Linked DNA regions of Saccharomyces cerevisiae S288C. Changing the gene in region 1 together with any one later gene gives a genetic interaction. Each region holds a gene or a part of one and is shown on either strand. Other genes may lie near its edges.

Evidence for each region.
Region 2: mutations in WSS1 (region 1) and RAD4 together harm fitness more than expected from each alone (negative genetic interaction), as found in Saccharomyces cerevisiae (3 studies listed by BioGRID, with this or other methods).
Region 3: mutations in WSS1 (region 1) and SSK2 together harm fitness more than expected from each alone (negative genetic interaction), as found in Saccharomyces cerevisiae (3 studies listed by BioGRID).
Region 4: mutations in WSS1 (region 1) and TDP1 impair growth when combined (synthetic growth defect), as found in Saccharomyces cerevisiae (9 studies listed by BioGRID, with this or other methods).

The regions. Positions count from the first base shown.
Region 1 is NC_001140.6:370,078-373,058, reverse strand, and holds WSS1 (metalloendopeptidase WSS1), read right to left. Parts: upstream 1,311-2,981; coding exon 501-1,310; downstream 1-500. Other genes in the region: serine/threonine protein kinase YCK1, read left to right, coding at 1-365; NSG1 (Nsg1p), read left to right, coding at 1,462-2,337; IGO2 (phosphatase regulator), read right to left, coding at 2,610-2,981. UniProt on the Saccharomyces cerevisiae protein: Metalloendopeptidase that acts selectively on DNA-binding proteins. DNA is needed to bring the protease and substrates together to enable proteolysis.
Region 2 is NC_001137.3:498,337-506,778, forward strand, and holds RAD4 (Rad4p), read right to left. Parts: upstream 4,559-8,442; coding exon 2,294-4,558; downstream 1-2,293. Other genes in the region: SPT2 (Spt2p), read right to left, coding at 1,011-2,012; GCG1 (gamma-glutamylcyclotransferase), read right to left, coding at 4,748-5,446; chromatin-remodeling ATPase CHD1, read left to right, coding at 7,056-8,442. UniProt on the Saccharomyces cerevisiae protein: Involved in nucleotide excision repair of DNA damaged with UV light, bulky adducts, or cross-linking agents.
Region 3 is NC_001146.8:676,781-687,121, forward strand, and holds SSK2 (mitogen-activated protein kinase kinase kinase SSK2), read right to left. Parts: upstream 8,654-10,341; coding exon 3,914-8,653; downstream 1-3,913. Other genes in the region: peptidylprolyl isomerase family protein CPR8, read left to right, coding at 1-323; ZNG1 (GTP-dependent zinc transferase), read right to left, coding at 419-1,708; ALG12 (dolichyl-P-Man:Man(7)GlcNAc(2)-PP-dolichol alpha-1,6-mannosyltransferase), read left to right, coding at 2,019-3,674; putative serine/threonine-protein kinase PPG1, read left to right, coding at 9,230-10,336. UniProt on the Saccharomyces cerevisiae protein: Kinase involved in a signal transduction pathway that is activated by changes in the osmolarity of the extracellular environment. Activates the PBS2 MAP kinase kinase by phosphorylation.
Region 4 is NC_001134.8:665,809-673,676, reverse strand, and holds TDP1 (tyrosyl-DNA phosphodiesterase 1), read left to right. Parts: upstream 1-3,379; coding exon 3,380-5,014; downstream 5,015-7,868. Other genes in the region: MCX1 (Mcx1p), read left to right, coding at 1-105; YBR225W (uncharacterized protein), read right to left, coding at 348-3,050; PCS60 (Pcs60p), read left to right, coding at 5,326-6,957; YBR221W-A (uncharacterized protein), read right to left, coding at 7,035-7,139; PDB1 (pyruvate dehydrogenase (acetyl-transferring) subunit E1 beta), read left to right, coding at 7,424-7,868. UniProt on the Saccharomyces cerevisiae protein: DNA repair enzyme that can remove a variety of covalent adducts from DNA through hydrolysis of a 3'-phosphodiester bond, giving rise to DNA with a free 3' phosphate.

The DNA.
Region 1 (2,981 bases):
ATATGCGCAATTCTCAATATAAACCAAAGTTAGACCCTACTTCTTATGAAGCTTACCAGCATCAAACCCAGCAGAAATACCTGCAAGAACAACAAAAGAGACAGCAGCAACAAAAACTTCAGGAGCAACAACTTCAAGAGCAACAATTGCAACAGCAGCAACAGCAACAGCAACAGCTACGTGCAACAGGCCAACCTCCATCTCAGCCTCAAGCGCAAACTCAATCTCAGCAGTTTGGCGCTCGTTATCAACCACAACAACAACCTTCTGCTGCTTTAAGAACTCCTGAACAGCACCCAAATGACGATAATTCAAGTCTAGCTGCTTCTCATAAGGGCTTTTTCCAAAAATTAGGTTGTTGCTAAATATAGAAATGACATTTTTTGCAAGACTACCGTCTTTCTTACATTTTTTGTAATGTGAATATATCTGTATACTTTACAACCGAAACGACATTTACCATACTTATAATTTTCGAGTTCTTCGCTGTGGACAAGAGATTAAGTGAGATCAATAACTTCGATAAGAGTATCTCCCGGGAGTACCTCGTCATCATCATCAAGGATTACAACTTCTAAGGAGCTGCTAATATTATCACTTATTATTTGATCTTTGTTATTCTTCGTCTCTCCGCACCAGCGATCATCTCTATATCTCCTTTCGGCTGCAAAAGCCGCCAACTCTCTCGGGGAATTACCTCTATCTATAGATGATATACCCTCTGGATGCAAACTCCCTAACTTCACACCTTTGCCCCTTTTTCTCACTATCCCTGTGTTAGTACTTATTCCTGTCATAGGATATCTATTTGAACGTAAGTTTGCTCTTCCACCGAGACGTTGACCGTTCCCCAAAAATGTGTCGTACAAACCTCTTTGTTCAATAACCCATTGCCTTCCAATCAACTCATCTAGCTTATTGTAGAACTTTTTGTCGTGTGGACCGAATAAATTGTGAGTTAATTCGTGCAGCATGGTGCCCATTATACACTCCATGGGTAAAAATTGGAACTCATCCGTGGAGCATCTTAACCGTAACATTATCTTAGATCCATGGTTGACGTTCATTCCCAGGAGTCTTTGATCACGTGGGTAAAACTCCACCAAGTTGGTCACTTTGAAGTGATTTTCCTTCATTAGATAGGAAACTTTATGTGCGATTTCCTTTATTAAATTTAGCGCATCTTCCTTATTGGGCTTACTTTGCAAAACAGCCACTTTTTGAATGTGCGGGTTCTTGTGAGGGATTCTCTGGGAGCCCGCCATATCATGGTATTTTGCCGATGGGCTTTTTATTCCTTCTGTCTTCATTAATCAATCTCTCTTATTTAGAATATCTTCAAAATATGCGTTGTTACAAAATACAGCGCAAAAGAAAAAGTGTCAAAATTTCTTCACCAAACTCACCTTTTGGTATTCAGAGCAAGTGAGAAAAAAAAAATTTAAACAGAGGAGGTTACTAATGGGCAAGAAGAAGAGTAAGAACCAATTAAACACTGGAGGTGTTCCTAATGGTGTCCATAATACCAAGAAAGAGGCAGCTTTGCCACCTTTGGGAAATAAGCTGGGAAGCGCAAGTTTTACAGCTATAAATACGCTGACTAAGCCCGCTTTGTTTTCATTTTATGATGACGATATTACCAAGAATGAAGGTAATGTTTATGACAAGGCTTTATTGTCTAACGCCTCTCAATTGGAAATGGTTCCGCCATCCGCGACTGCGAGACACGAAAGGTCATTGTATGCGAAAATAATCAATACTATTGCTGCATTTTTTATTCTATTCATAGCAGGAATACTCTTCCCCATGATATCAGAATGTTTGTTTGATAATGACCAATTGGCAAAGGGAGATATCGTATCCTTTTTAAAGCATGGTATAGAAATTAAGAACAAGATCGTCGCGGAACCTGACATGGTGCCTGATTGGGCTGTATTTGGTACTGAAGGTGTTATCTTTGGTTCCATAGTACCATTCATTGACTCTTTCGTTCGTTATCAACACCAGCCAAAAACCAGGTCATCAGTTTACAAAAACACCCTAGGATCATTTATAAGATGTGCCAATACTCTTTTGGGCTTAATATTTGGTATTAGGAAACTTGAATGGTCCTCCTCTTTGCAGGCAGCTGGTGCATGGAGCTTATTAAACATTGTTCTGTGGTTGTTCTTTGATGGCACTTTAACCGTTTTTTTCCCAGGTCTAGTAATTGGTGCCCTTAGTGCGTTCACTTGCTCACAATGTTTCTCGCAGTTGTCACTGGCGTTGTATTTTATAGATTTCTATTTTTTTGGGTTTTTGATGTTCAGCAAGTTGGGCAGATATTTATTCAATTAAGTGTTCCCATAGGGGCGTTCAATGATTAGTATCGATGTGTAAATCTTAGCTGATTTTTAGGCCTCAACAACCTTCATTTACTAAGCATGTGAGTAAATCAAAAGGATGACGTCAACAAAAAACACATCAGTAACACAAGGTATACCATACATACATATATATATATATATATATATATTATTTGGTAATTGAATATTGAAAATGCAAGGGCTTAGCCGAAGCTAGTGATGATAAAAAAAAAGTAATACCACATAATATCATTCCTTCATTAGTCATTTATTTGGAGATCTTGGTGGAGGTCCACTTGAGATACTTCCTTGTCTCGAGATAGAATCGCCACCACTACTACTACTCATACGTCTTCTAATAATAGACTCTCTTAAACCGCTAGGATTGGTCACTGGTAGATTATTACTAGAATTATTCACGATAACGTCATCCGACTTAATGACTCCGGCCTTTTTCAATGCATAATCTCCGCTGTCAAAATATTGACGATCCTGCATCTTATGTCTTAACAGATCTTTTTTGGATGGAAGCTTCCCATACATTTTATACAATTTTAGTTCTTGTGGTGACAGCTTCGATAAATCCACTCCCTCTTTGGTAAACCCATGAGGATTGCTCAAATCCACCCTGCTGCT
Region 2 (8,442 bases), on another chromosome or scaffold:
ATGTCATCATCTTAACACCGTATATGATAATATATTGATAATATAACTATTAGTTGATAGACGATAGTGGATTTTTATTCCAACAGTTTTGTTATAAGGTTGTTTCATATGTGTTTTATGAACGTTTAGGATGACGTATTGTCATACTGACGTATCTCATTTTGAGATACAACACAGTGGGCTAAGAATATACAACCGTTTTAGTCAATGTGTTGAAATATCATATTTTAATGCATTGCTCGAATCTCTTCCTTCGACTTACTTATATTGATTAAGGGTATGTATTTGATCCTTCCACCTGGAAAAACTGAGGACCTTACAGTGTTATTAAGTGTATGATGTATCACTGTCGTTGTAGTATTTCTCGGGAAGTTTTTCACTGGCAATTGGAGGTTGCTAGAGTTTCTTTTAACGCATACCCTAAACGCTTGTTTCTATTTTAATGACTACTTGAATCCTATCTAACTGGTGACACAATTTGTTTCATTTTTTAATATCTCACCTAATATATCCTAATAATATGAACATACCATAGCTCTTGTAAAGCTGGTCCATATTTATGTTTAGTTTCCGAATGCTTTTGTAAGGAAACGGGTTGTGGAAAAAAAAAAATACAACTACGTTGCCGCGAATCTTGTTGAAAAAGGTCTCAAATTAAGGCAAAAATGATACTGGAATTGTTAGTCTTGTATAATCGATCAACTGCAACAACCAAGTCTTTAAATTTTCAGTCCGTCTTGAAAGAATAGTGAAGGTTCATTTTTATTTTTACATAGTAAAGTTTATAGAATTATGGGCGATACACAATATAAATGTTCTAACCCAACTGATGCATATCATCACTGTACGTTTGAAAATCGGACAGGCAAACTGGATAAATGGAAAACGCAATTACAAAGGGTATGAAAATGAATGTAAGAAGTGAAACAGTGCCTCGAAACAGTTCCCAAACTCTCTACGACTTCATTAGTCATTTCACGTCCATATATCAAAACATATATCAATATTCCTTAGCGTATGCCCTTCTTACGGCGTCTCTTCTCCTCTTCATGCTTTTTTAACCAAGCTTCCTCACGTTTATCCTCTAACCTTGCCATTTTTCTTGCCATTTCCTCCTCTTCCAAGATTTCCATCTCATTTGCTTCCATATCATCATCCTCAAGCTCATCGTAATCGTATTCTGACCGCTTCTTGCCTCTATTGAACATAGCCCAAATTTCGTCACGATCATATCCGGGACCATTGCTGTGTTTCGATTTGCTGTGGTAACCTTCATCTTCATCGTCTTCTATAAAATCATCCATATCGTTATCTTCTTCATCATAGTCATCCTGGTATCTTGATTTCTGTTTTCTAGATTCTAACTTTTCTTTTAATCTCCTATTAGGTTGAGCAAATCCATTTGTGGGCAAGTTGAGCTTGACGGGCTTGGGTGAGTCTGATGATTTTATGCTATTGCCTCCAGAAGATACTCCACGCAATGTTGCGCCAGGGGATGCTTTCTTTTGTGGTCTTTTTGAACTTTTGAAACCTGGCTTGTTAAAATGTGGGCGTTCCTTAGTTACGGGTTCCGATGACTTAACTTTTGGGGGCTGTTTCTCATTATTTTCCGCTTGTTTCATTAGCTCTTCAAATGACATCTTTTTGATAGGTTCAGGTTTCTTCCTTACAACTGGCTTGAGTGGCGCATGACTTGCTCCAATAGACCTCTTAAACCTAATTCCAAGGCCACCTTCATCATCGTCATTCCTTTCTATTTTCTTTTTCTCAGATCCAGATGAGGTGCCACGTTTCCGTTTTACACCACTTTTTTTAGCCAAAGCACCATTCTTTAACAGTTCCTGCCGCCTCAGCTCCTTCAATCTTTTTACTGCAGGATCTTCGTCTCTTATGTAATTTTTGGGTAACAAGGAATACTCTTCGTCATTCTTCTTGGGTAATGGATCTTGCACTTGGGCTTTTGATGCAGTCGTTGATTTTCGTATTTGGGAAAGTTTGGAAAGAAAACTCATAACTAAAATATTTCACTTTGAATAGGACTCAAGTCCCTGTCCCTCTCATCAACTTTTATTTTCAAATTACACTAGTTATTTTATTGTATTCATATATTAATCTGTGGCACTTGTCCATGTGGGAATATCTTAGTCGAACAAGAAAAATAATCATGTTAAACGAAAAAGTTTGAAGCCAACTAAGTTCTCATTCATTACAAAGTATATACAAAATTCCTGAACATAGAATTTCTTTATTAAAAACATACTTTCCTAATTATTCAAACCGTTTCAGCCTCATTTCAGTCTGATTCCTCTGACATCTCTAGTTCTTTCATAAAATCCGAATAATCCTCCCCGACATCGTCGTCTGTAGCACTTTCCTCCGCTTTGTCAACAGAAACATAATCTAAACTATCTTCTGGCTCTGAAGGTTCACTATACGGCCTTGCTTCGTGGTTTGCTATACCTGGTAGGAACCCACCTCCCATAAAAGTCTCCGTATTATCGTGATTGTCCGCAATATTCTGTTCCTTCGTAACGTTAGGTTCTTCCTCGGCAATTTTACCATATGTGGAGTTCAGCTTGCTACGAATACGCAGTTTTAGCAGTAAAGTATTCCAACTCTCCAAAGCACCAAGCAAATGTTCCTTCCTATTATCATCCTCTTGAATAAACTCTATTCCATCAATAGCGGTTTCAATAGCTTCTCTGAGCCACTTTGCAACAACAATGCCACTTAAAACTGGCTTAACTGTACTGCCGCGTTCAAACTTAAAAGAAGTTACAGCAGGTGCAAATTCCACCCCCAAAAACCTAGCAGCTTTAATTGCCACAGGATTCTCAACCAAACAACAGTTACCAGGTATCATCGTTGGTGCAAAAACTTCGATGTTTCCAAATGTATTCTTGGTTATTTCACCGCTCGCACTGGCTAATGGAGGGATGTATAATTCTGTGTCTTCAAAGCTATATAATCTTTCATCTTCTTCTTCTGCTTCGCCCTTAGGCCTTCCAACTGTCCTCTTTATCACCTTTTTACACCTGCTACCAGTTTTTAAAATTCGGCCGTTCATGTACCATTGTCTAGCACTTTTCAAATCCGCAATATCTCTTTTTGCATAAACTTTCAAAACCTTCCCAACTTTTCCATGTACTTTTAAATATCCACACTCTTTACATCCTGGCTTTACAATTTGAGTCTGTTTGATATCTTGTTCTAAAACATAATATGGGTGGTTTTTCAAATCCTGCACCGAATCTGGTATGCCTTCACTTTCATCTCTCTGAAAAAAATATTGATCTTCGTAATCATCAATTTTGGTTCTCTTTCTATGGTGAAGTGCTGTTATCACTTTTCTGAACCATTTCTCACCAAAGTCATCTTTAGTAATTCTTCTTTTTCTTACTTTAGAGTTCATCCATTGGGCATATCTTCGAGTTACATCTCTACAGCCATACTTCCGATCGTAAGCAATCACGTACCTCAACATATTTCTTTCGCAGCACGCCACGCCTTTCGGTGCCAACTTGGAATGAAGTCTGACCTGTTCAATGGTTTTGAGATTTACTGGGTCAACAGTTATCCATTTCTTAGAGAATTTGTCCCACACTTCACACCAAAAAATCGGATACTTGACCATATCTTTGTACGCATTGTTTCCATTCAAAGAAGTGTCAATCTTCATATTGGTAAAATCTGGCGGTTGACATGACATGATAAGTCGTGCGTTAACATTACAAGCCCTGAGCATCGCAACGAAACCTTGCACTGAAATATCAGGATCTCCGTGACCTTTACTGACGGCCCTTAAAAAGTCAGATCTTTTCAACGTCTTGAATTTTCTTTTGTTATTGGCGCTCATTTCAATTTCTTTCCAGGTTCTCATATAAAGTCCCACATTATCATATTTTTTAGTGATCTTCCAGTGTTTTTGCCATAACTCCATGCATTTCTTCAACCCATCTAATAATTTCCTAGTACTCCTAAGTGGGAGTTCCTCATCTTTCTGAGGATGCAGTAGCTCAAACACTTTCTCAGGAACTAAGTTGCTCAGTTTTCTAGACAAGCGCTTGCTGTTAATCCATTCATTTCGTATAAATCCATGAACCATCAAGCAAACTAGATACAACATGTGGAAATATTTTCTCCTTTTCCGTTCTTCATTAGAACAAACGTTGCGGCTTGTCCTTCTAGCATCACTATTCCTTTTACTAGAGGGCTTAATTTCAACAGATATATCTTCTACACCGGCCACCTCATTTCCATCTGTCACGTCTTCAAATTCCTCCGAATCATAATCTTCTTCAGATGACTGGATTTCCTCTACACTATCATCCGTCGGTACCGTAACGACGCCATCATCTGAAGAATCTAAGTTTACAGTAACAACGCTTTCTCGTGGCAATTCATTCAACCCTGTTTTAAACTTCTTCTTGGCATCTGGTAGGGGCTGGTTCTTCCTTCTGACTCTTCTTCTTCTACTCAGGGGCGCTTTTTCTGCCTCTTTCTCGTTAAGAGCCTTCCTTATTAGTTCAAAATATTCCTTGGGCAGGTCTTCATTCATTTTAGCGGAAAAATAGTGTCGTTATGTCTCTGCTTGTCGTCCTGTTTGAACTGCATAAAATTTGCATATATTGTGCATGCATTAAAGGTACTTAACCGCATTTTTCCATTTTCCGCCGCACTATATAGATGGTAGAAAAGCAAGAGGAGAACCTTACATAGTTAATCAAGATATGTATACATATTTCATTCACCTGTATTTATTTACAGTCTCCAATAGAGCAGTCAGATAATGATCGGTAATACGCCCTCGCTCTTTCATGATGGGCATTTGCGCTAGCGCTTGCTCCAGTTTTGCAAGGTATTCATAGTTAGATCCACTAGGTCCATGCGACACGGCAATTACTTTCGCAGTTTCATCCACGGTCTCTGGTCCGACGAAGGCCTCATTATCTATTGTACCAATGTACACCGAAGTAAGTAGTACCCGTTTACCCGATTTGTTGTGCCGAGGCAACTGTTCTAATGCTTCACCCAATTCTGCCTCGTGCTCCCGATTAGTTTCTAGATGCACCTCAACCTCATGTAGAGTGTACCCGTTTTGTTCTCTTACGTTCAAATACTCTCTAACCTCTTGAGCATGTTCTGGTGGTATATAATACACTACCCCTATGGTGACTAAGTCGTCGGGATCCTGGATAGGTGCACTTTCACTATACAAATTCACATTCTTCAAGAAGGCAGTTTGCCTTATAATATCCTCATACGGGATTAGTGTGGCCACTCTTCCTGGGTTTGCAGGTGTACCCCTATGATCAGTGGAACTTTGCCAGAACCGACGAGCAAAACCGTGAATTATTGCCGGTATTCTATGCGTGTAATGAGACGGAGGCTTGTAAATCAGAGATCCGTAGCCTAGGACCCAGATACCACTGTTGTCATTAGTCATTTGGCCATACAACTTTTTATAAGCCCAAACCAACGTCGTGATTGCTTCTTCCAAGGTTAAATCACCTCGAGACTAAACTCATAGCTAATATTGACCTTACCTTTTAGCGTTACCCAGAATACCAATTATCCCGCTCCTTGGCGAATCCAAAAAAAAAAAAAAGGAAAAATTACTGGAGTGGCAAATTTTCTCATTCTCTTCATATAAACCACTAGGGAGGACGTCGAAGAAAAGTCTGCTAGGTGTTGGTGACAACTTCCAAGCTTCCCTTAACACAAGGGAACTATTGATAACCGCTGGTTGACATACGCCTTTAAAAGAGGTCATACGTTGCGACACTCTCTCCCTCCCCTCTCACTGATGTTTTCTGTCTTCAATTTCTGGCAATAATCTTAAGACGAAGCAGTCAAGTCCTAAGGAAGAAAACGATTTTTGATTGTTTTAAGTTGCCACTACGTAGTGGTCAATATGGAAGCCTCTGCGCAATGGAGAAACACGGGTGGCATAGGTCAGCGAACCATACAAGCGAGAACACTCTCATTACTTTATGGATCATCTCAGTATTTCACCGTTCGAGGAAAATCTTCTTTCGCAGGCCGAAGTCACCGTGATATATTTGATACTTTTGAGATATCCTTGAAAGGTAAGCTTCTATGTTGTACGTTTATTTTTTTTAACTTTCTTTGTTTTAGCTTTTACTTCGATGATATGTTACTGCCCCATATACGGTAAAAGATCATACGTTGCCAAAATCAAAAGACATGATTGCCTGTATGTTTTCCTCAGCCCATCAATGCGTAATACGGTCAGCTAAACGCTGCTCACAAGCCAAGGGCTTGCGTGTTGCTCGCGCATCGGTTGGATATCACTGGTAGGCCACTTCTTCAATATTTTGAAAATGAAACACGCTAAAGTTGAAAACTTAATTATCAACCGTCCAGAAGGTGTAGGCAATTTCATCTAAGAGAATAAATTTAACATCCCACGATCCTTATCACATCCCATCCCTACACTAGGACATATGTTCCCAAACATTACAAAGTTCTTTCCTGATATCATTACTGATATAAGATTATGTCAATTATTGATACCATTAAAGACATGTAATATGCAACACTTGTCGAACAGATCATAGTTCAGTAGTCGATTATCATACTGTTACCCTCTCGTTATATAATTTTACTTTTTTTCCTTTCCTTCTTTTCAATTTCGAAACTGTACCACGAGAAACATTGTGTAGAAGAATCTTGTCCTCATTATATCTGGTTAGTACTATCGTATTCTTGTCCGGACATCTAAGTCAAGTTGATAAAAGTTTGGGGTTATCAAGTCAAGATAAGCAAGCTTGCAGAAGTCACCTTCTCTTTTCCGTTACTTCTTTTGTGAATATACACATACTTGTTTCTTCCAAAGGAGAAAATTGAATAAGCCTAAACATCGACCATCATTTTCTTTAATTCGTACTTGAGTTCCACTAGCTTACCTATTCACTAACGACAAAGTTTCTCAAAGGTTTTTATTTTTCATTTGCTTCAAGACTTTTCCGTTATTTCTTTAAACCTATACCCAATTCAAAGCAGAACCTTTTCTAATTTAATTCTCACTTATAATGGCAGCCAAGGATATTTCTACTGAAGTGCTGCAAAATCCTGAACTATATGGGCTGAGGCGGTCACATAGAGCTGCTGCGCATCAACAAAACTACTTCAACGATAGCGATGATGAGGACGATGAAGATAATATTAAACAGTCGAGGAGGAAGAGAATGACCACGATTGAAGACGACGAAGACGAATTTGAAGATGAAGAAGGCGAAGAAGATTCTGGAGAGGACGAAGATGAGGAAGATTTTGAAGAAGATGATGATTATTATGGCTCTCCTATAAAACAAAATCGATCAAAACCGAAATCAAGAACAAAATCAAAGTCTAAATCTAAGCCAAAATCTCAATCTGAAAAGCAATCTACAGTGAAAATACCAACAAGGTTTTCTAATCGTCAAAACAAAACGGTAAATTATAACATCGATTATAGCGATGATGACCTCTTAGAATCTGAAGATGACTATGGTTCCGAGGAGGCTTTATCAGAGGAAAATGTGCATGAAGCATCTGCCAATCCTCAACCAGAGGACTTCCACGGTATTGATATTGTTATCAATCACAGACTAAAGACATCTTTGGAAGAAGGAAAGGTCTTGGAAAAGACTGTTCCTGACCTCAATAACTGCAAGGAAAATTATGAATTCTTAATCAAATGGACAGATGAATCTCATCTCCACAATACCTGGGAAACTTATGAATCCATTGGCCAAGTCCGTGGATTGAAGAGGTTGGACAACTATTGTAAGCAATTCATCATCGAAGATCAACAAGTAAGATTAGATCCATACGTTACCGCCGAAGATATAGAGATCATGGACATGGAACGTGAACGTAGGCTTGATGAATTTGAGGAGTTCCACGTGCCAGAAAGGATTATTGATAGCCAACGTGCTTCGTTGGAAGACGGCACCTCACAATTACAGTATTTAGTTAAATGGCGTCGTCTAAATTACGACGAGGCTACTTGGGAGAATGCCACAGATATCGTGAAATTGGCACCTGAACAAGTGAAACATTTTCAAAACAGAGAAAACTCTAAGATCCTCCCACAATATTCCAGTAATTATACTTCACAGAGACCGCGTTTTGAGAAGTTAAGCGTGCAACCTCCGTTCATTAAAGGTGGGGAATTAAGAGATTTTCAACTAACTGGTATTAATTGGATGGCATTTTTGTGGTCCAAAGGTGATAATGGTATACTGGCAGATGAGATGGGCCTGGGAAAAACGGTCCAGACTGTCGCCTTTATCAGTTGGCTGATATTTGCTCGTAGACAAAACGGACCTCACATCATTGTCGTTCCTTTATCGACAATGCCTGCCTGGTTGGATACTTTTGAGAAATGGGCGCCTGATTTGAATTGTATATGCTATATGGGCAACCAAAAATCAA
Region 3 (10,341 bases), on another chromosome or scaffold:
GCAAACCAGAGCAACCAATAACAATAGGTTACATTTCATCCCAGGAACACAGGATTCAGCATGCAAAGGAAGCTCACGAAAAGTATTTACAAAGGCTTCAAGATTACCAAAACGGCGATTTGGAGAAAGGTATTACATTGAAGAATTATTTATACCAGGGTAGTCAAAGAAAGTTAGAAGACGCAAAATATAATCAGCTTCACCATCCTTTACCAAAGATTATGCTTGGTATTTCGGTATTGTTACTTTTCTACGTTTTGGCCAAGTACAGGAAAAGAATATTCAACAGATCGTCTAAAATAGTTTCTATTAGAGAGGATTAAAATGTTTCGATCCATCCGCTTAATATTCATTCATTTTGTATCACATACATACGTATAAATATACATAACTTACCTCGTCTTTATTATGCCAACCATCATTCCAGGGTTTTACGTAACAGTTCCTCTATGGATTCCTTTTCTAGGTACTTCCCAATCAGCACAATTTTACACTCTTTATTGGATCCGTCATATTTGCCTGGAAAGACATCGTAGGTGTCGCGGACGCCTTGGATTACACGAGCAATGGGGTTCTCTCCTTCAATAAGTATCAGACCTTTAGTTCTTTGTACTTCCCAATCACGGCCGTCATCTCGGCGACGCCCTCCCAGCACTGTCATGGCTCCAAAATTCTTCCACAATAAAGGTTGCAAAAATTGCTTAATAAACTTATTATTATATTCTTCCTCGTTTTTTAATGGTCTGAAAGTAAGCATTATTGTGCCCATTCGATCATCATGAATGGTACCGTTTCCGCTACCACTATCTAAGATGTCAGATATCCGTACACTGTCGTATGCATGAATATCTAGTAAATTTTGAATCGGCGTATCACTATACTTGGTGAAGAACATCGGTGCGATAGAATTTATTTCCCGTACTCTTTCTTTTAATTGTTTGACCATTTCTGGTGAATGTTCGATAGTATCGTATTTGTTCATTATAATTCGATCAGCCATGGCTAGTTGGAAGTGTGCAATAGTCAGATTCCCCTCCAAACCAACTTTGTCACCATGCCAATGGGCATCGATGGAAATATCATCTAAGCATTTTAGTATATGCTCACAATCCAAAACCGTGATGATCCCGTCAATGTAAACGCTGCTATTCAATCCTTCGTCCTGCCAGAACATTTTCGCAATGGGGGCGGGATCTGCAATACCGGAGGTCTCTAAAAGGATATAATCGATTTTACCAGGTGAACGCTCCACCATATCTTCGATGGCTTTAACACCTATATTTTTCAACGAACAACACAGACACCCGTTACCCAAATCCAACCATTCTTGGTAGCTGTTCGATCCATTTTTAATGGTCATAGCCTTTTCGATTTCACTAGAATCTCCAAATTCATTTAAAATTACGGCAATTTTTTTATCTGCACCTTTTAATGCAATTTTTTCCAGCAACGTCGATTTACCTGATCCTAGATAGCCGGTAATAATGCTCACAGGAATACGCTTTTTCTCGTGCACATCTGTTGCGCCTGCAGAAGTGTTCTCCACTTGCTTGTTTACCCTTTCAACTTTTGCATCGCTAACAATATTTCCACCATCATACGAGACATTTTCCAAAATTTCTTGTAGATTATTTTCTTCACCTGTTACGAGGCAGGGTAGTTCACCATCTTCTTCTTCATTGAACTTGATGTTTCTCAATGCAGACATTCTTCCGCTTTAAAAGTTGAAAATTCCTCAATGAAAAGGGTGTTCTTGGCTTTACAAGCGCATTAAACATTTAATATTATATAATATTTATAATATACATGTTATTCCAATAGTGAAAAAAAAAAAAAAATGAAAATGAAAATGAAAAATTCGGCCCTTAAAAATGAACAACCTTTTACCAGCCGGCATTAAATGTCGTGGCACTTCACAGTTTATAACGCAAGGAATTTACTAATAGCAAGTGAAACCATTAACGATTAGTGTTGTTAAAAGAGTTGAATAAAGCCATTAAACAACGATTCAGTTGACAATGCGTTGGTCTGTCCTTGATACAGTGCTATTGACCGTGATTTCCTTTCATCTAATCCAAGCTCCATTCACCAAGGTGGAAGAGAGTTTTAATATTCAAGCCATTCATGATATTTTAACCTACAGCGTATTTGATATCTCCCAATATGACCACTTGAAATTTCCTGGAGTAGTCCCTAGAACATTCGTTGGTGCTGTGATTATTGCAATGCTTTCGAGACCTTATCTTTACTTGAGTTCTTTGATCCAAACTTCCAGGCCTACGTCTATAGATGTTCAATTGGTCGTTAGGGGGATTGTTGGCCTCACCAATGGGCTTTCTTTTATCTATTTAAAGAATTGTTTGCAAGATATGTTTGATGAAATCACTGAAAAGAAAAAGGAAGAAAATGAAGACAAGGATATATACATTTACGATAGCGCTGGTACATGGTTTCTTTTATTTTTAATTGGCAGTTTCCACCTCATGTTCTACAGCACTAGGACTCTGCCTAATTTTGTCATGACTCTGCCTCTAACCAACGTCGCATTGGGGTGGGTTTTATTGGGTCGTTATAATGCAGCTATATTCCTATCTGCGCTCGTGGCAATTGTATTTAGACTGGAAGTGTCAGCTCTCAGTGCTGGTATTGCTCTATTTAGCGTCATCTTCAAGAAGATTTCTTTATTCGATGCTATCAAATTCGGTATCTTTGGCTTGGGACTTGGTTCCGCCATCAGTATCACCGTTGATTCATATTTCTGGCAAGAATGGTGTCTACCTGAGGTAGATGGTTTCTTGTTCAACGTGGTTGCGGGTTACGCTTCCAAGTGGGGTGTGGAGCCAGTTACTGCTTATTTCACGCATTACTTGAGAATGATGTTTATGCCACCAACTGTTTTACTATTGAATTACTTCGGCTATAAATTAGCACCTGCAAAATTAAAAATTGTCTCACTAGCATCTCTTTTCCACATTATCGTCTTATCCTTTCAACCTCACAAAGAATGGAGATTCATCATCTACGCTGTTCCATCTATCATGTTGCTAGGTGCCACAGGAGCAGCACATCTATGGGAGAATATGAAAGTAAAAAAGATTACCAATGTTTTATGTTTGGCTATATTGCCCTTATCTATAATGACCTCCTTTTTCATTTCAATGGCGTTCTTGTATATATCAAGAATGAATTATCCAGGCGGCGAGGCTTTAACTTCTTTTAATGACATGATTGTGGAAAAAAATATTACAAACGCTACAGTTCATATCAGCATACCTCCTTGCATGACAGGTGTCACTTTATTTGGTGAATTGAACTACGGTGTGTACGGCATCAATTACGATAAGACTGAAAATACGACTTTACTGCAGGAAATGTGGCCCTCCTTTGATTTCTTGATCACCCACGAGCCAACCGCCTCTCAATTGCCATTCGAGAATAAGACTACCAACCATTGGGAGCTAGTTAACACAACAAAGATGTTTACTGGATTTGACCCAACCTACATTAAGAACTTTGTTTTCCAAGAGAGAGTGAATGTTTTGTCTCTACTCAAACAGATCATTTTCGACAAGACCCCTACCGTTTTTTTGAAAGAATTGACGGCCAATTCGATTGTTAAAAGCGATGTCTTCTTCACCTATAAGAGAATCAAACAAGATGAAAAAACTGATTGATAATAGCTAACGTCAATTCCAATAAAATATATAGCGAGCGTTTTACATTAATCCACCTCGACTAGACTTCAAATTTTCACTTTTATATCTTACCTTTATAAATTTCTGTTCTCAAAATCAAAACAATTATAAAAAAATGCTATCATTAATCTTCTATCCTTGAATTAACATTATATACTCTCCCCCCACTACATTATATTTTGATTTTACATATAATACAACAAACCTTCTCAACTTAACTACTCTCTTTCCTCAGTATCTGTAGAGGAAGAATCGTCGCCAAAGGCTATTTCTCTAATTTGTACAATCCAAGGATCCATCAACAGCTCAACCGCACTGGCTCTCTTGGAGGGGTTTTGAATAAGACATCTTTCCAGAAATTTCATACCAGCAGACGACACTTCATCCTTAGTAGGGAATTGTGGGGTATGTCCTGCAGCAACATGGTACATGATAGCCCATTCATTATCTAAGTTAGCCCATGGCCGTCTACCAGTGATCATTTCTAATACCACGCAGCCTAACGACCAAACATCGTCTGCCCCAAGTTTGCCTTTGGTGGTAGATCCAGTGATGGATTCTGGAGCCATGTACATAGGAGTTCCCATCATGTCTAATAGAGCATTTTCGTTATTTTTCACTGCCTTTGAATCAGAAACATGGGTAACATCTTCGTGTTCACCATCTGCGTTTTCGATTTTGTTCATACTTGCCAATCTAGTTCCATTATTAGCAATTTTTTTAGCAGCACCAAAATCAACATACTTAATAACACCATTAAAATCTAGTAGGATGTTTTCGGGTTTAACATCACGGTGAACAATGCCGGATTCATGCAAATATGCAAGTCCTTCTAGCAATTGTAAAGTGTAGACTTGAGTGACCATTTCATCTTCAATACGACCATGCTCCAAAAGAGCTGCTAGGGAACCGCCTTCACAATATTCCATAAAGATGTTAACTTTATCACGATGAACTTCAACACCGTAATATGAAACTATATTTGGATGGTTCAATATCTCTAAGACACTCATTTCCTCCTTGATTAAGGGGAATATTTTTTGCATTGATTTGCTATCTTGAATATTGATTTCCTTGACTGCTAAAATCTCACCATTATCCAAATCAACAGCAGAATATACCCTTCCAAAAGTACCGCCACCAATAAAGTTCCTCTTTTGCCATCTCATAGAAACGTTCGATATGGAAGATGCCAAAGAAACAAGGTACTTGTTACCTTTGTCACTATCATCAATTACTTTACCAGTTTGATGAGGATTCCGCTTTATCCTTTCTTCCAATTCCATTATACTTTGTACTCGGAACTCGGAATTCACTTGTAGCATCATATCATCGTCAAACACATCTTCCAAATCAAGATTTGATCTAGCTTGTTGATTGATTTTCTCAACTTCTATGGAGCGTGCGCCTATTATATCAAAATGAGAAATAAGTAATGACATGCATTCTGAAATTTTTTGTTTTAAAGAAGAAAATTGGCATTCATCAAGAGCTAGTATGTTCCAACCGCTTACCATATGCATCGCGAACTCCATTGACGTGACACACCACCTAAATACCCTTTGATCAGTCGGATCACAGTCTTCAGCTAAGAACTTCAGCCATCCGATACTTAACCGCATCATTAAAAGTATTATAATGGATCTTTTTTCATTGTTGGCAACATTAATTCTCAAAAAGTTCAGACCAAAATCCCTCCCAAAAAGGAAAATATTATTCAATAAATCATTGACAGGACTTACCTTCTTGAACGTGGTCACAATCTTTGTATAGTTCTTCAGAACACTGTACGTGCATCTGAAATATGCTTTATTTATCCTTTGTAAGTTGTTTTTAACCGTTTCTGAGGAAGATTTTTTTTCCAAGAAAGAAACTGAGCTACCAGATATCTGTTGGAACCTGTCACATTGGTATTCTAAGGCATAACTGGATCCTTGGCACATCAAATCTATTGAATTAGGAATTACTTTCAAGTTCAATCCCTCTGGTTTAATTGTTTTGTTATCGGATAGATTATACATCTCACCCTCCCAAAGTAATGGCTCTTGCGGAGTCAATACCAATACATAACCAAGAGAGTTCAATCTTGTCTCCAGTTCATAAAACTCTTCCTCCGTGCTCCTGCTGTTTTCAAAATCCGGTTCACGATTGACTCTATTACCGTTATAAGATCTAGGCTGGGTGGTCAAATCGTTTTTGATATAATAAAATGGGGTACCATCATTCGAGATATCTGAACCCAGTGATGAGTTGGAGTTCCAATTATCATCCAAAGCATTATAAATTGTCAGACTGTTATTAATTTCTAGCTTAGGCACTAAATCACAACCGATGTCTGAATTCTTAATGATTCTTAAAATATCATCATCTTTACAGCCTAATAGCTCTGGGCTACCAATTAAATAAGTACCATTTTGCTCTAGGTAACCTCCTGTGTATATAAGAAAGTGGCCTGTTTCTTTTAGTTGCTTTAGCAGATAGTTGTGATCTTCTATCTTGTAGCGGACAAAATTTTGAAATGCTTTTGTCAAAATATTGGTGAATCTATTGAGTTTTCTTTTCATGGATCCAAGTATTTCGAATATTTGCACCAGCCATTTTTCAGCAGCAGCTTCATTCTCTAATTTTGGCGGAGTGTTTTGCTGCCTTAAAAGGTAAGCGTGCAATCTGTGAACCAATCTAAGTGTCAACTTCGTAAATTCTGCTGCGATCAGTTCGCCTGCATCATCAATATAATAGCCGACGTTTCTAAACATTTCCCAATATTTTAATAACAGATCAGGTTCTTTAGAAGTCTTGAATGAGTTTTTGCCACTATATAATATTCTCAGTTCCAAAATGGAGAAAAAATATTCCAATCCTTCAACAACGGTATGATCAAATTCGGGATCGATTTTCACTTTAAAAAACCAGTCATTACAGTAAGAAGCAACAGTGAATTTCATTTGGACTGCCAACTTAATATATGTACTAAAATCGTCCATCATTTGATCGATCATCATCAAGGTTGGATTCTGTATTTTCTTCGCGTAAGATAGGCGAATTAGTATTATATCTTTTACCAAACGCATTGGAAACATCAATAAAAATTCCAGATCTTGATCCAAATAAGATAGATTCAATTCATTCCAAGTTTTTTGGTATTTCAAGAAGAAAAATTTGGCCTTCAAAATCCATGGTGCTAATGGAAAGAATATTTTTTTTTGAAATATCAGTTCAATATCCTTTTCCTTCATAATTTGCTCCGCAAAGCGTTTACAATTAGTGGCGAAAACGGCTGGATCATCCAAATTCACGGTGGTGTTATCCACTTCGGTAGTGCTTTCTAGCTCTTTATTGCCAACTATCCATTTTTTCAGGTACGCAATATTAGTATCAAAGTTAAATTTGAAATTAAGCCAACTATTCAAAGTATCTATTCGATTCCTGAATGCTTCTGTTTTAGTAATGGGTTTTTCAGCATGCATTCTTTTAATGTTAGGCCATAGATTTAAGACTCTATAATATTTGTCTACTAGTGATTTGATAGTCTCTGCAGCCTCGTCAGCGCTCATATTATCTTCTAGTTTAAAGGCCATGATTTCTTGAAATACGGAGTCAGTAGAATCCCTAAAAATCCTCAGAGATTTGTTCTGATCTTCCACGGTCCTCCCATTCATCCATGCCTTCAACTCAATCCAAATGTCATCTGAAAACTGAGTATTGAAGCCAGGGCCTTTCCCTTGATTTGCAATCTTCGTTTTTTCATTCCTCACAATATCTCCCTTCAGTACCTTAGATAACATTGTTTGCCATTCAAATCGGTTGTTCACCATAGGATTTTGTAACAATTTTGACAGCAAATCCTCGCTCCCCAGTATGGAATGCCACTCCTCATCTTCTATTTCACACGGTTGATCATTGTTCACATCCCTCAACCAATCCAATTTGCCCTTTAGATAATTTAGGCTCATCGAAACAACATTTTCATTATTTTTTGTGCTCGACGTAATAAAATTATAACCAAAATTGAAGTCGTTATCTTTATCCTCACCTTCTACCTTTAAAAGATCATCCATTTCTAGTTCTAAGTCATCTTCACCTTTGTTACTAAAATTTTCTTCGTCATCTTCAAAGTTGGATGATGCGACTATACCTCTAGTGTAATAATCATCATTAGCACGGTTTCTCATTTTTCTTAAATATAACTGTTCATTTAATACATATTGTTTTTTGTATGTTCGGAGGCTCGTTGTGCTTCCACCATGGTGGCCTACAGACCGTTGCGAGCTATTTGTCGTGACAATATCCTGCAAAGTGGAGGAACTTGTTGACCCATTTGGTTGCGATCTGGTGGGAATGTGTTTGTTCGAAGTTTGGTTTGTAATATTTTGTGGCGTTGACATAATCGATGTATTCGTTGTATTTAGTGAAGCCAGTTCTGGTGATATCACTAACGTTGGGGTCGTCAATAATGGATCTTGATTACTATTCACGGGAGCGGGCTTCTTAATAATCTCGCTCTCTGTTTTACTAGCCTCAACTTTCTTATGTACAGGAACAGGTTGAGTAGACAACTTCGGTAGAGACTGCTGAGGATTTTTTGGTAGAGGAAGACCAATATTCGAGGGCCGTCTACTAGATCTTGCCGAGGAGCTGGAGGACCCAGAAATGGCATTTTGATGAAAAAACTGACCTTGAGGTATACCCGGAAGACGATTGAATAGCTGTACTGTATTTAATGGAGACTCTCCAGGGCTGTAAACAGCGTTTGGTGATCTAAAGTACTGGGTAGAATGCAGCCCTGGGCTGATGGGCGATGACGCTACTCGAGCCTGCGTAGTATTGGAATTTCGCCCTAAACTTTCCGACCTTAGTCTAGATGAAGATGATGAAGATGACTGCCTCATCTTGGAGCTGCTGGGCTTTTCCGTGGAATCGCCGTAAGGCTTATAATTGAAGTAGTCTGAATGCGACATTATTTGTGCCTGTCAAATAGTTTACGCAAAGGCTTCTCTTCTTTTTAGTAATGGCAGACTGTTTGTACTTGAAACTGCCCAATAGTAACTTGAAGGACAGACGGAGCTCACACAAAAGTTAACAAATATGCTGGAACCTTTTTTTTTCCTTTGAATTCTTTGTAAACCAGTAATTCGTTTTGAAAACACCCGTTCTTAGCTGTTCTTTAACAGTACTACTCTCTAAGGCAATAACACACTGGGGCAGCAACAATTACAATCTTCTAACCTCTTCTAATCTGCAGATTTGGCTTCTTTCTATCTCTGTTTACCCACCTTTATCACTCTTTTCAGATTAATCAATTCTTTCCATACAAAGAAACGCCCGAAAAGTGGCGCGAGTTTCCCGGGTGATGGAGCAGTAATTAATAATGCAAAACTGCTAAAATACCCACTGTTTCAGGGTATGAAACGCGGTATTTTCAGCGAGTTGTAGGTAATTTGGAACAGTTCGTGACTGTTTATTAAGTTCCACTCATTGCAGTTGTATCCCCACTGTGTACTTTTATTTTTGGTTAGAGAATTGGCCCAGTAGAGATGGAATTGGACGAATGTTTAGAAAGGCTATACAAGGCCCAGTTACTACCTGAAGTGACTGTAAGGGCACTCTGCTTTAAGCTGAAGGAAATGCTAGTGAAGGAGTCAAACGTGATTCACATTCAGACCCCTGTCACAGTCGTGGGGGATATGCATGGACAGTTTCACGATATGCTGGAGATCTTCCAAATAGGCGGCCCTGTTCCTGATACGAATTATCTGTTCTTGGGCGACTATGTAGACAGGGGGTTGTACAGTGTGGAAACAATTATGCTATTGATTGTGCTTAAGCTTCGATATCCTAGTAGAATTCATCTTTTGAGGGGAAACCACGAGTCACGTCAAATCACGCAGAGCTATGGTTTCTACACGGAGTGCTTGAACAAGTACGGTGGCAATTCAAGAGTTTGGCAATATTTGACAGATATATTTGACTATCTAGTGTTATGCTGTATTATCGACGACGAAATTTTTTGTGTTCATGGTGGGCTCTCGCCCAATGTTCAAACCATAGATCAGATCAAGATTATTGATAGATTTCGAGAAATTCCACACGATGGCGCCATGGCAGACTTGGTTTGGTCTGATCCGGAAGAAAACAATAACCCCACGTTAGATCATCCAGATAACTCTGGACAACATTTCCAGGTGTCACCTCGTGGAGCAGGTTATACTTTCGGAAGAAGCGTGGTGGAGAAATTCTTACGTATGAACGATATGAACAGAATATACAGAGCCCATCAGTTATGTAACGAAGGTTACCAGATATATTTTGATGGATTGGTTACTACTGTATGGTCGGCGCCAAACTATTGTTATCGGTGCGGCAATAAAGCATCTATTCTGGAGCTGTATAGTAAAGATCAATTCTACTTCAACGTTTTCGAAGAGGCACCTGAAAATAAACTGTTGAAAGAGAACAGTATGAACGACAATGCCTTAGAAGATAGCATATCTAATCCGGTAGCCAACAGGAAATTGATTGCAGATTATTTCGAAGACGACTCTGCCTCCGCAGATGGCTCCACGGACCCTGAAATGTACATATTTTCAGATGTATACCAAGCCAGATCTGCTTCTAACAGACATGTTGATTACTTCTTGTAGCTTAC
Region 4 (7,868 bases), on another chromosome or scaffold:
GACGTTTCTGAAGAAGATAAAAAATTAGGAGTTATGCTAGAAAAAGAGTTGGGTCATTCTGCTAACATTCATACCCCAACAATTCCCAAGAGAAGCTTAACATAAAAAAAAATGAATGGTATAGAATATATAAATATAGATGTAATAAATGTAGTAAATGAACAAATAATCTTCCTACAAAGTACTATGCCATGGGAAGTAAAAAAAATTAATAAATATTGGCTAAAGTGTTTCAAATTGGTTCTACGATACTGGGAGACTACTCCTTATCATAATGCTTTTTGTCCAGTAGTAAAAATTGAAGTAATTCTTGAACAATTTAAAAAAAAATTGGAACGGCGGCACAATTATTTGGTATATGGCAGCTTTGGCTTTTGCGCCACCACATACAAAGTTCTAAAGCAGCCAGCGTTGTCATCGATTTTTCCTATGTGTTCTTCCACATATCTTTTGAAAAGAGTGGTGGGGTCGGTATCCTTTGGAGGACAACTACTATCTGGTAGTTGCCTCCTTAACATGTAGTCCCACATATCTAAAGAATTAAATTCATTCAAAAAGCCCATATCTGTTTTGAAGTCACCAGTTTTCAAACTTAGGACCGAGGACTTGATGCCTGTAAACCCTACATCCTTGAATGTCCTCGTTAAGTGTTTTGTAGGATGGATATGTAAGCCTTTATTTATCGCATCAATAGCCATAGCATCAAATGTCTTGTCCCGTTCTTTTGTAGTCAAAAACTCTTCTGATGAATTATTTGCTTTTTCGGCATCGGCGTTGCCAAGAATTCCAGTATAGTATGTGTTTGAAATCCTTAAATCTGGAACAATTGCCAGCGCGTACCCGCCAGGAATTATTGATCTGTATATTTCCCTAAGTAGAGCTTTCCATTTATAATAACTTAAACTTGTCCAGACCCACGGGCATATTACAGCAGGTATAGTGTCTGATGCAAACGGCAGTCTTAATTTTAAATATTCTTTACCATAAATAGCTGCGCTTTTTGCCCTGTCAAGTCCTTCATTTGGAAAGGAGTTATCCGAATTAGAGGATATTGGTGATGACAAAGGTGGTTCATCTTCAGGCTGAAGTTGTGCATTAGAGGACCTCTTCACTTCCTTTGGCAAAATAAATTGGGTCGGTAAATCGATTTCTTTGTAGTTGTTCAAAGTCCGGCAAAAAAAATTCTCCAACCATTCATTTTGATGTGCTTGGTTGGCTGATTTGACATGGGGAGCTTTCTCTGTCCGAGGGGGACTAGAGATATGTGACTGTGGTTGAATTTTTGGAGAAGAAGAAGAAGATATGCTAGGTGAAACTGAAGGGCTTGTAGTATGTGAAGTTGATGCAAGTTGAGAATGCTTTCTCTTGAAAAAGTTGACGAAACCAGATTTTTTAGTAGCCTTGGTAGGGCTCTTCTTCCTTTTGACAGCATCTGCTCCCGAGGACGGCAATGATAAAGATCTACTTGAAGCGAATTGGTCGTTTAGAGGGTCTTCCTCAACTCCCTGATTGAAGTTGTTTCTAGAAATACGTTCTTTTGCATCATCTGTAAAGAACTTTCTATTCATGCAATCATACATATACTCTGAAGCATTGGAAGAATTCAATTCGATAACTTCTTGTTCGTCAGAAACTATTTTCGCTCTTGAACCCTTTCGTGGCAAATAATTTTGTAAGTTTGTTAAATACTCAGGAGCAATTTCACTAGCATTCTTATTCTGAGCGTCATTGTCACTGCTGTCAATCATCCAGGGAGATAAATCTAATGCGAAATCTGCGATGTTCAAGCTTGGTTCATCATACGCCAGCTGCCAACCGCCCAGGGTTTTATGCAGCGGTCTTATTAATAAGATGTCAATTTCGTCTAATGGATCCGATATTACTGGCCTTGGAGAGTTTGCTTCTATATCTAACTGCTGAATATATAATGTAGGGTCACTGATCTTGTTGCTGGTGGTGCTGATTGTTGGATTAGAATGTTGTCTTGTGGTTGGTTTTCTTTTTATTAGTTCCTCCACTACTTCAGATGAAAAGAAGAATGAATTTGATTGCAGTAAAAATTTTTGAGATTGAGCCAACCATAATTGAATCAAGGATTCAATTTCAGAATAATCTTTTAACGGGTCAAACGATGGAAAGCATTTAACCTCAGTCTCTATATTTATGATGTTTTCAATGTTAAATGGATAACATTCAAATGCATATTTCCTAGATTCCAAATATTTTGTTAGGAAATCAATGTACGACCGTAATCTTTTCTTGGCAAATATTAAAGAGTCTTCTGGCGAGGAGTCCATGTTAAAAGATAGAAACAAGTCCATTCTATTAAAGAGCTCATTATGATTCGGGTCGTACATTATTTGTTTGAATTCACCGTCTATGCAAATGTTGATTAAATTATGATTTCCTGAAACGGTTTTGATTAGAAGAGAAGAATCTGATGCCGGTAAAGTGTTCCAGTCCCATTTTTTTCTAGAATGGAGTTTCTTGACAACGTTCGAAGTTGCACCGTGTAGACCACCACCTCCCCGGCCATTGCCGACCATATTGGATACAATGAATCGCGGTGCAGAAGGGTCTGGTGAGTAATTAGCTTTCACTTCGGAAGTCGGAGTTCCGCTTCTATGACTATGTTTATTATTACTTGTATGATGATGATGTAGACCTATTTTGGAAAGCTGAGCGGACTTCAGTTTGGATACTGAGGATGAGGCAGCGGAGTCAGATGATCGTCTTGACGAGTTTGAGAACAAGTCATCCGCCAGTCTAAAGTTTGGCAAATGTAAGGGCGAATCAAAGGACGAGAGCTTATCTGAATGATGGCTTACTTGTGGTGAGTGTGATTCTACTGAACTACTTGATTGCGTGGTTCCATTTCTACTCTCTTTTTCTTGTTTCCCCTTTTCTTTGTCAGCATTTTTATGTTCAGTAATCATTGAACTTGTATGGTTATCATGTGCTTTTAAGTTGGAAATTTTGTTACTGGTTATACTGGTTAACCCCCTATCATTCTTACTATCAATGTTTTTTGCTTCCTTATTGGAGCCCATTGTATTTACTTGAGCAGTTTATAAAAAGTGGATAAATGAGGGGAAAAATAATAAAAAAGAAAATTGAACAATCCTTCAATATGTGTCCTTTAATAATTACTACTACTTTACACACTTCTCCAGTAGCTGCTGCTTGTTTCAGGTGATGTGAACAACGTGTTTCAGCGTTCTTGGTAAGTGTTGGTATGGATCCCTTCTGATGTATTTTCGGCGGCCGCACTAAACTGCGAAAATGGTAATTTAATAAAGGGCTTATAAAGAGGAAAATAATGCAGAGAAACGGTGAGCCCAGACAAGAATGATGATAATGTGTTTTCAACCGATCATTAATGTCACGAGAAACAAATTTCAATGGAACTAAGAGGAAGAGGTCGGATGTTGCCGAGAAAGTAGCACAACGGTGGAAGAGCGTCAGGTATAGTGCTGAAATGGAGAATATGGCTCCGGTCAACAGTAACAATGATAGCGACGACTGCGTCATAGTCAGTGAATCGAAAATCATTGATTTGACTAATCAGGAACAAGATTTGAGTGAGAGAATAGAAACAAACGATACGGCAAAAGGTGCCGTTTTTAAACTAATGAAATCGGACTTCTATGAAAGAGAGGATTTTATGGGAGAAGTAGAGGATATGATTACATTGAAAGATATCTTTGGCACTGAGACACTAAAAAGAAGCATACTCTTCAGTTTCCAATACGAACTTGATTTCTTGTTGAGACAATTCCACCAGAACGTAGAGAACATAACCATCGTCGGCCAAAAGGGTACTATTATGCCTATCGAAGCCCGTGCTATGGACGCGACACTGGCAGTAATATTAAAAAAGGTCAAACTTATTGAAATAACGATGCCCCCATTCGCTTCCCACCATACGAAGCTGATCATAAACTTTTACGATAATGGCGAATGCAAAATATTCTTGCCATCTAACAATTTTACGTCAATGGAGACTAACCTGCCTCAACAGGTGTGTTGGTGCAGTCCCCTTTTGAAAATAGGTAAAGAAGGGCTACCAGTACCGTTTAAGAGAAGCTTGATAGAATACCTCAATTCGTACCACCTGAAAGACATTGACGAATTGATTACAAAAAGCGTAGAGGAAGTTAACTTTGCTCCTTTGAGCGAATTAGAATTTGTATATTCTACGCCCTCCAAATTTCAGTCGTCGGGTTTACTGTCGTTTTACAATAAACTAGAAAAACTTTCTGCTGGCACAAGTGCTAGTGATACTGCAAAACATTATCTATGTCAAACTTCATCCATAGGGACATCTCTATCAAGAGCGCGAGACGAAAACTTATGGACACATCTAATGATTCCTCTGTTTACCGGAATCATGTCCCCTCCAGCAAAGGACACCGCTGGGAGGAAGAAAGCAGAAATACTGCCAACGAATTCATTGATTAATGAATATTCGCAGAGAAAAATCAAGCCGTACATTATTTTCCCCACCGAACAAGAGTTTGTCACCAGTCCCTTAAAGTGGTCCAGTTCCGGGTGGTTTCATTTTCAATATCTTCAGAAAAAGAGCTACTACGAAATGCTGCGAAACAAGTTCAAAGTATTTTACAAGCAAGACCCTGCTATGGTTACTAGAAGACGAGGGACGACGCCCGCGCACTCTAAGTTTTACATGCATTGTGCAACAAACTCCGCAGGGCCCTGTGATGCATCGCAGGTATTTAAAGAACTAGAATGGTGCCTTTATACTTCGGCAAACCTCAGCCAAACAGCATGGGGCACCGTTTCAAGAAAACCACGCAATTATGAAGCAGGAGTGCTTTACCATAGTCGCAGGTTAGCAAATACCAGGAAGGTCACGTGCCGTACTTTTACACGTGACCGTAGAGGCTGCGCGGGTAATCCCACCCATGTGGCCGTGCCATTCACGCTGCCAGTCATACCATACGACTTAGCTGAGGACGAGTGCTTTTGCCTTGCTCGTCATGAGAACGACTAACAAGTAAGAGCGCGATGTTGCTGTCCACTTAGGCATCACTATATGGGGCCAGGAATGGCAAATTTACTTGATAAACTTCAGGCGATTGGATTTTGGTGCTCAGAATATTTTTTTCTCGGGCCGAAAGCGTCTTTAACTATTCCGAGCTAAAGCTTCCGAGTCCTTTATTCGGTCTTTTTTTATTTTTCAAGATTAACTGTATATAAATAGAGATGGTATGATTAAAAGCTCTTTTTAATAGATGCTCCTTCTTGAAATTTACTCCCACTGTGCTGCAAGAGGTTAGACGCTTCACGCACATTTTTGCTACAATGACAAGTGCCGCTACTGTTACTGCTTCGTTCAACGATACTTTTAGCGTATCCGATAATGTCGCCGTTATTGTTCCTGAAACGGACACTCAGGTGACCTACAGGGATCTATCCCACATGGTGGGTCACTTCCAGACCATGTTCACAAATCCTAATTCTCCATTGTACGGAGCTGTTTTCAGACAAGATACAGTGGCGATATCCATGCGTAATGGGCTGGAATTTATCGTCGCTTTCCTCGGTGCTACTATGGACGCTAAAATTGGCGCGCCCTTGAATCCCAATTATAAGGAAAAGGAGTTCAATTTTTATTTGAATGACCTGAAATCTAAGGCGATTTGCGTCCCAAAGGGTACCACAAAGTTACAGAGTTCTGAAATTCTAAAATCTGCCTCCACGTTTGGATGTTTTATCGTAGAGCTGGCCTTCGATGCGACCAGGTTTAGGGTAGAGTATGATATATACTCTCCAGAGGACAACTACAAAAGGGTTATTTACCGGTCTTTGAACAACGCCAAATTTGTCAACACAAATCCCGTTAAATTCCCTGGGTTTGCCCGTTCCAGTGACGTTGCCCTGATTTTGCATACCAGTGGTACCACCTCCACTCCAAAAACGGTGCCTTTGTTACATTTGAACATTGTGAGAAGCACGTTGAACATTGCTAACACTTACAAGCTAACGCCCTTGGACAGATCTTATGTCGTGATGCCTCTTTTCCACGTCCATGGGTTAATTGGTGTTTTACTTTCCACTTTTAGAACTCAGGGTTCTGTTGTGGTTCCCGATGGATTCCATCCAAAGTTATTCTGGGACCAATTTGTTAAGTACAACTGTAATTGGTTCAGTTGCGTTCCCACAATAAGCATGATTATGCTGAACATGCCCAAACCAAACCCTTTCCCACACATTAGATTCATCAGATCGTGTTCTTCTGCTTTGGCTCCAGCAACGTTCCATAAGCTGGAGAAGGAATTCAATGCACCTGTCTTGGAGGCCTATGCGATGACCGAAGCATCACATCAAATGACCTCAAACAATCTGCCTCCAGGAAAGAGAAAGCCTGGTACTGTGGGCCAGCCACAAGGAGTCACCGTCGTCATTCTAGATGACAATGACAATGTCTTGCCCCCGGGCAAAGTCGGCGAAGTTTCCATCAGAGGCGAAAACGTCACTTTGGGGTATGCTAATAATCCAAAAGCTAACAAGGAGAACTTCACCAAGAGAGAGAACTATTTCAGAACCGGTGACCAAGGTTATTTCGACCCTGAGGGGTTTTTGGTCCTTACAGGCAGAATCAAAGAGCTTATCAACAGGGGTGGTGAAAAGATTTCACCCATTGAGCTCGACGGCATTATGCTATCGCATCCAAAGATCGATGAAGCCGTTGCATTTGGTGTTCCCGACGATATGTACGGCCAAGTAGTTCAAGCCGCCATTGTTTTGAAGAAGGGAGAAAAAATGACCTACGAAGAACTGGTGAACTTCTTAAAGAAGCACCTAGCCTCTTTCAAAATTCCAACCAAGGTGTACTTTGTTGATAAGCTACCAAAAACCGCTACAGGTAAAATCCAGAGAAGAGTTATCGCAGAAACTTTTGCTAAGAGCAGCAGAAATAAGAGTAAGTTGTAGGCAGTATCCTGTACAATTTTATGCTCTCTGAAAGCTTCTATCTGGCACCCGTTTATATACGCCAATACTTATGTATTTTATCTATCTAATGAAACCACAGTATTTATCATGCCTAAGCTGATTCTTTTTCGTCGCGGCTGTTTCCGGGGTCTGTTTTCCGAGACTTCGAAGTGGGAGAACATGCAAAAGAGACGAGTCTTCAACTAAGAAGTTCTCCGTCATTAAAAGTCATGCGTTTGCACGTTTGCAATAAAAAGAGGTGTATCTACATATACAGGTTAACGATTGCAACAGCGACTCTTGATATTATCTCTGTCAAGTTTCTTCCTTTTGTTAGACTAATTTAGTATCATTTACACACTCGGACGTTAAATTCCGCCTCCCTCATAACAGTTCCTGTGTTTGTTCATTGATAATCGATCGCAGTTTAGTAAGTTCTTTTACTTTTGCAATAATTTTGTTCAACATGTTTTCCAGACTGCCAACATCATTGGCCAGAAATGTTGCACGTCGTGCCCCAACTTCTTTTGTAAGACCCTCTGCAGCAGCAGCAGCATTGAGATTCTCATCAACAAAGACGATGACCGTCAGAGAGGCCTTGAATAGTGCCATGGCGGAAGAATTGGACCGTGATGATGATGTCTTCCTTATTGGTGAAGAAGTTGCACAATATAACGGGGCTTATAAGGTGTCAAAGGGTTTATTGGACAGGTTCGGTGAACGTCGTGTGGTTGACACACCTATTACCGAATACGGGTTCACAGGTTTGGCCGTTGGTGCCGCTTTGAAGGGTTTGAAGCCAATTGTAGAGTTTATGTCGTTCAATTTCTCTATGCAAGCTATCGATCATGTTGTCAATTCCGCTGCAAAGACTCACTACATGTCTGGTGGTACTCAAAAATGTCAAATGG